2 linked regions of the Danio rerio genome follow. The protein of the gene in region 1 purifies or fractionates together with the protein of each later gene. This does not show direct contact. Links are inferred from orthologs where the notes say so. Each region holds a gene or a part of one and is shown in the gene's direction. Other genes may lie near its edges.

What was found. Proteins that work in one complex are often made in the same cells at the same time.
Region 2: the proteins of emc1 (region 1) and tmed2 purify together in Homo sapiens (affinity purification with mass spectrometry; 3 studies listed by BioGRID and IntAct, with this or other methods). This does not show direct contact. The link is inferred for Danio rerio from reciprocal best matches to the Homo sapiens genes EMC1 and TMED2.

What each region holds. Positions count from the first base shown.
Region 1 is NC_133198.1:24,184,905-24,188,312, forward strand, and holds the end of emc1 (ER membrane protein complex subunit 1), read left to right. Parts: intron 1-1,220; coding exon 1,221-1,305; intron 1,306-1,403; coding exon 1,404-1,533; intron 1,534-1,624; coding exon 1,625-1,804; 3' UTR 1,805-2,902; downstream 2,903-3,408. UniProt on the Homo sapiens protein: Part of the endoplasmic reticulum membrane protein complex (EMC) that enables the energy-independent insertion into endoplasmic reticulum membranes of newly synthesized membrane proteins.
Region 2 is NC_133185.1:3,902,826-3,906,888, reverse strand, and holds the start of tmed2 (transmembrane emp24 domain-containing protein 2 precursor), read left to right. Parts: upstream 1-1,260; 5' UTR 1,261-1,383; coding exon 1,384-1,563; intron 1,564-2,458; coding exon 2,459-2,651; intron 2,652-4,063. UniProt on the Homo sapiens protein: Involved in vesicular protein trafficking. Mainly functions in the early secretory pathway but also in post-Golgi membranes.

The sequences.
Region 1 (3,408 bases):
CGAAGATTTTTCAGGACCACACTCGAAACCAAGAGGTAGGAAAAAATTTCCAGAATACACTAGCTCCAACTGCACCCGGAAATAAGGAGATCTTTTTTTGTTATTATTATGAATTTTTACAACAAACAAACACATGTTTTAATATATTCATAACTGCGTTCGTGTTTTACAGTCATGCTTTTTTTTTTTTTTTTTTAAAACGCTTAAATAAAAAACGTTAAATTTTGCGATCTATAATCCCTAATAATAACTTCTGCACAGCAGTCCCACAACAGTCTGACACTCAATGACACTCAATGACACTCAATGACACTCAATGACACTGGAATACCCTGTCAGAAAAGTCCAGTGACTGGGAATGTACTTTTTACAGTGTCTGCTATAATGTTAATGTTGTTTTTGATGTGTTTACATTAATGAATATGGCCACGGTGTAAATGCACAGTACTGTTACGATCTTATTGCCACATTAGATCATTATGATAACATAATACATGGCTTCAGTGATTTCCTGAAGATAAATACCAAAAAAAAAAAAAAACACAACGGGAATCACTACAGTAGTCGCCATCATCTGAACTCATATGAAGCAAGAGATTGCGAGGACATATGATGACGTGTGCAGGTGATGTAGTGCTGTCCCAATTCTTAGGGGTAAATTTTAAAGCCCTTCCCCTTAACCCTCGGTTGCAAGGACTAAGGGGAAGGGGTAGGGGTACAAAAACAGAATTGGGGTTTGGCCTTACACTTGTGAAATAGAGAAAGGAATTCATCCATGAACTGTGTACTGTAAAGTTCCTGTCAAGCTTTTACAAGGTCCCAGTTCTTTCTACAGTGTTTGTGTGCAGGGCCGAGGGTTTCAGTTTTCCAGGTCTGCATGCAACAAATGGGCGGGGCTTGAGTTCCATATCGACGTCATGCCGACACAGCTAAAGATTCGTTACCCTCGCGATTTATTTGAACCACTCTGAGTTGACTCTTTTATAGAGGAATCAATAGTTTTAAACACGGTGTACTTTCAGGTTTAAGCCTTAGCTGGATATTTCACTTCACTTAACACACACTTCACTTTACACACTGCATGGAAGGTCATTTTTAAAAACTCATTATAGGGGCTCTTTAATCTCATAACATTGTAGTAAGTTTCTTGGGATGTATTTTTATAACTTATGATAATAAATAGCATCTAAATTAAAACAAAGATATTTTTTGCTTTATAGTGGGGCTGCCATCAGGCAACATTTTATCCTTACCAAAGATGTTTTTGGACCCCAGGAGACCAGAGGTGGTCTCAGAACAGAGTCGGTAAGTTTTCAGCTAATGTTTATCATGTTGGAAATCTGAAAAATGTCAAGCATATATTTAGTTTAATTATTTACAAATTGATTCTCTGACCATTTTAGGGAGGAAAATCTTATACCATATGCTCCAGAAATGCCCATTCGTACAGAATGGTTCATTAACTACAACCAAACCGTATCAAGAGTAAGAGGCATCTATACTGCCCCATCTGGCCTGGAGTCAACCTGTTTGGTAGGAGTCACGGACTTCAATTGATCTCTTAACATCCATGCAGTTGTTATCACATGTAGTCACACTAAATAACTTCAATTTCACCTTCTAGGTGGTTGCATACGGCCTTGACATCTACCAGACTAGAGTGTTCCCTTCCAAACAATTTGATGTCCTTAAGGATGACTATGACTATGTCTTAATCAGCAGTGTCCTCCTCGGTCTCTTCTTTGCCACCATGATCAGCAAACGTCTAGCGGAAGTGAAACTGCTCAATAGGGCATGGCGATAAGACTCATCCTGATGGCCTGTTGACTTCACTCTCGCCTTCACTGCAATGTGGTCGACACATTGATGGCAGAAGACCAGCTGGTGACCATGTCAAAACCGCAAGATCATTTGACGAGTTTGGTATCTTTTTGCAACCAGCTGTCTTGGGGATCTTGTGGTGTTTTGAGTGTAAGTGCAAAGATGGCCATGATCGTTTTTTTTTCCCCTTTTCAGAGAGACATAATGATGTAGGTTTAGTTTTTACCCCCCTCAGCATTGAACAATTCACTGTCTAATTTGTTTATTTATTGTGCCTTTCGGGGTAACATTACTAATGTGATTTAAAGGTAGACTGACCAGGTATAACATAATAGCATTGTCGCATTTGATTCACTAAGTCTAGAGTCTGCCTTTCAAAAAGGTTGAAGGATAAATTCATGTATTAAAACTGAGGAGGAAATGCTGCAAAGGAACTGCCATTGTTATTTCAATTTATGAAAAGGTTGATTGATTGATTGATTGATTGATTGATTGATTGATTGATTGATTGATTGATTGATTGATTGATTTTGGGGTTTTAAGTTTAATTATTCAAGTTACTATGTATGAGCTGACCCTAATGAATATATTGGCTCATCTCATGTACAGGATTTGAATGGACAAACATTAATGCACATGAGAAATGTAAAATTTCAAGCTGTCAAAGGTTCTGCGTTTGAAGGAGTTTGGGTAGTTTTATTTGTACTTATTTTATGGTATGTCAAATGCACTGGATGGTTTGGAGCCATTTTCTTACTTGATATTTATGAGCAAGATCCCAATATGCCATATCATACATTTATTTTGACTCATACACGTTACAAATCCCTGTGATTTTATTATTGTGTAAAATGTTTCTACTCATTTGATTTTCATAAATAATGAGCCTGTTTATATACATACTTTTGAAAGTGTCCCCTCTGCTGCAGATTAATGATGTCAGAAGAATAAGTTTATTAATATTTGTAACAAAAGGGTAGGCATTCAGTTAAGTTGGTAACCTGATGATTTTTTAAAACATGCATAAATTATTTGTTCTTTTATCCCTAATCGATAATAAAGAATACACCCTTATTGTTGACCCCTGAATTGTTTAATTCTTTCTGGATGGTAAAGTTATAATCAGTAATCAATAGTAATCAGCAAAACATTTAGTTATAATTGACAACTATGTATGAACTAGAAAAAGTATGTACGAACTACTGCATGTAGCCTATAATCGATCTGATTTTGGACTATTTAAAAGAGACTGTCACCTAAAAATGTCAACTTGGTCATCTTATGTTGTTACAAACCTTTATGACTTCTATGTCATCTGTAAAACAGAACAATGTTGACAACCAATCATTTGCAACTATACCAACTTTTTAATTATTTAAAAGGGCAGTCAAAATGTAAGTTCTCCCTTTGTTTACCCCGATGTTGTCATTGTCCTAAACCTTCATGAGTTAGTTAATGTATGGAGCATACACACAAAGTTTGTTTTTTGAACAGCAGTTTTAATTTGTTGATTCCCAATATGTAGAATTAAAAAAAAAAGTATAATACACACTCTTTGGACAATTTTAAATATGAATATGATACAAT
Region 2 (4,063 bases), on another chromosome or scaffold:
TGCGTCTATTAATTTGATCTGTTTATAATGCAAATGACAATAAACCAACGTTAATGTAGGCAGATACATTCGCTAAACCGAAGACAAATGTTGGCAGAGCTGTCATGTCACATTCTCAAAACACAGTGTCATGTCTTGTCCCAAATTTAAAACACGACCTGTCAATCACGATCAACGGATATGAAATATGAACATTAAAAAAGGCTTACAGTGCCCTAAAGAGAGTTAATGCACAATTATTCTGACTCTTCCAGACTCAAACATGTCCAGTCTCGCCCTGATGGGTTTAAATCATTAAACTGTCTGCTATTTAAATGAAACACGTTGCTTTCGCACTTCTGACAGTCTAAAACTATCTTAACAAACAATTTCTTGGTTTATCATAAAACTAAGACACTCTGCAGAGACAAGAAATGCTAAATAATAAGTAACAGGAAGAATGTTTGGTTTGTTTTTGCTTGTTTCTCACCTTCGGGATGTCATCGCTCCCTCGCTCCGTTTACTGTAGTTTTACTCACTTTCCGGGTATAAACTCCGTTTAAATCGACAGTGCCGTGTTCAGCGGCTCATACGGCAGCGGGTACCGCTCGGTTTGGGTTCGGACAGACGAACATGAGTGAAAAAATGACAGGAAACGGCAACCGGGAGCGCTAGGCCGCAGCGGCGGAGAGTTTTCTGGAGTCGATTGGAAAAACGTCACCAAAGCTGCGACACACAGAGAGCGACGCTCCGCGCTGACGCGCCCTCCAGAGGGGGACAACAGGAACAACAAATGACAACAATTAACAAAATATTTTTAATATAATAAAAGATTAATCACGATAGTAAAATTTTATCAACTTTGTTGTATTTTAGACGTTGCAACCGACTACAGATGTTTATATACGGATAATAAAATATAACACGGATATGTACAGTCAATATATTTTTCTTTATAAAAGCAGACGTTGTGTATTAATAAATGTAATATACATGCAAGACAATAACTTATAGTGTTCCTGTTGAAGTTCTGATTTAAGGTAATAATTTTTTTCCTAAATATGAAATTAAGCAAGCTCTAATCGTGCACATTTGTGCACATTTTCTACGTTTTCTTTCTTAATTTATACATTTTTTTAATTCATGTGTTTGTTTGTGTGTTTGCTGTGCAATAACCAGTTTAACAGCAGCACTTTGACGTTTCAACACCTCATCTTTTTTTTTTACAAACGCGAACTGCGTCCGGCGTCGTCGCCTTTATGTCCCATCCGGCGGATCGTCTAAATCTTGACGTGGCATCACCAGTAGCGCAGCTAGCGCTTGTCAGTCTCCGCCTTTATCGGCCCAGCGCGGTGTAAACTCTCTTTTATGGGTTTAACTCTCCATTAATTCACCGCACCAAACATGTTTACGTTCTCGGAACTCATCGTTCTCCTTTGCGCGTTGTCCTACACGGCGAGCGGCTATTTTGTGAGCATCGACGCGCACGCGGAGGAGTGTTTCTATGAGCGCGTGAACTCGGGCACGAAGATGAGCCTGATGTTTGAGGTCGCCGAGGGAGGATTTCTGGACATCGACGTCAAGGTGGCCATTAAAATACACTCTCTGTATCATTCCATATCATTTAATAAAACGATTGTTTATAAGCAGCCACTGTAGGATGTTTGCAGGTGTCGCTGTCTGCTTAGCAGATGGTGGATAAAGCCGGAAGTGAATTCCTGTCTGGGAGTGATTATTAATTCTTTAAGTACTCAATTATACATTCGTCTACATATTATTTAGACGAATGTAGGTCAAAGTATGCTATTTTGCATCCCGCAGGTTTTAGTTAAACATAGGAAATAGTCTGGTGTTAAGATTCTTCTTGTACATTTGATTTGTGTGTGGTTCTGTGTACTGATAATATATGAAATTATGTGTATATAGTATATAATATTACACGTATATGAATGATACCGGGTGTTTCCCATGTTTTGTGTTTGTATCTTGGTCTAAAGTGTCAAAGGTGACACCTGCTTTCACAAAGCATACGTCATTTACTAGTCCCTTTATTTCTTAAGGCAGAACGTTAGAATATAACGTTTTAATGTATGTTTTTATTGTGAGTTTTTCAATTTATTTTAATCAAAACAATATTTCTGACATGTACCTGTTAACGGTGAGTTTTACCTGATATACTGGATTGTGGTGAAGTGGTGTTATATTCACACATTCAGACTTTCTCCTCAATATAATTTCAGTAAAGTATTCATTGCCAATTCTAAATGGGTAAATCATATTAGCAGCCTATAACCAATAAAGAACAACATTGTTCAGTCAATGAAATAGTTCTAATGTTGATTTAAAGTCATACCTGCATATAATTTCAGTCGGAATATTCAAAGTAGCATGATAAACAATATAGGGAGTTATCACTGAATGATCGTGCGAATATAAAACCAACTTTACCTCATCATTATGCGCTGCATATCTTTAACAGATAACGGGTCCAGACGGGAAGCAGATCTATAAAGGAGACCGTGAGTCCAGTGGGAAGTATTCTGTAGCCGCTCACATGGACGGAACCTACAAGTTCTGCTTCAGCAATGAGATGTCCACCATGACCCCCAAGATTGTGATGTTCACCATTGACATCGGCGAGGCGCCCAAAGGACAAGACATGGAGACAGAGGGTGAGCAGACACACTGACCGTCATCTACTTTTTTTTTTTTTTCATAGAGTGAATCTGCACTGATGTTATGAAACTTTCCAAAAGTTGGCGAGGGAAGTTTATGGCCTTCTGGTATTTGAATGAGTGTTCAGTAATTAATCTTAAATAGTCAACCCTGACACGTTACCCTTTTACATCCGGTTTTAACATGCGTTTAAGTGTCTATCTGCTAACCACTTGTGTTCAGATTTTGTCGAGACCTTTCACTCTTGTTTCAGCACATTCATTAGAGAGCTCATAATTATTAGCAGCTAAATGTGTCTGTAAAAATATTCAAAGGCTTTTATTCTCATAAACCGCGCGGACGTGAATGCGTCTGACTGTTTTGATTGGCTAAAGCAGACGTCTCACGTCAGCACGTTCTAGAAGTGCACGCGCTCTTTCCAGCAATCTTCCTTCTGCATTCACACAGCGCAGCATTCCGGCAAATTACCGGTAATGTTACAACTTCTCTTTCCGGAAAATAGCCAGAACGAATTTACCGGCATTTTCAAAAAGAGCCTGTTCACACACACACACACACCTTTCCAGGAAAATTGACGGTACTTTTCCGGAAAGGTCTGGGGTCCGTTCTTCATACGTGGATTACTCAGTTAGCTGGATTTGGTTATTGACGATTTGACACGATCCAGGATCGTTTCGTTCTTCAAAGCTGATCCGAGAGTTGTTGTCATAGCAACAGTTCTGCTAGCTCAAACCTGATCGGAAGCAGGTTCAGTTCATATAAACAGGATTAGATCGGCTCAGTTCAAGCAAAGAAAATACAGAAAGTATGTACCGAATTCTGATATTTTCTTACAGTAGTAGTTATATACACTTGAAAAAAGGGTACATATTTTTTAACTATATATATATATATATATATATATATATATATATATATATATATATATATATATATATATATATATATATATATATATATATAAATATATATATATATATATATATAAATATATATATATATATATATATATATAAATATAAAGTTATAGTTATTAATAACATAAATAAAGTTATATATATTAATAAAACGTATGCAATCTGCACTCTCGAAATGAAAGTACAAAGACTGCCACCTGGTGGTGCACAGAGAAAACCTATTGATATGAACTTTTTAGATCGCTTTAGTACAAATTGTGTATAATAGAAATGCACTATATGTGACTTTTTTAAAAAAAAAAAAAGCTATGATAAATTTAATGCATTAATAAACATGTTTTGACAGTTAATATGCCAGTGATTAGGCTTCACAAAAGTTGCAGAAGCCTTTACCAATATGAAAATGCTTTTGTAAACAACCAGTTATTCTTTACACCGATTAAAAAAACGACTACTATAATAAAGAAAATCTTTTCTAAATGTAGAACTAA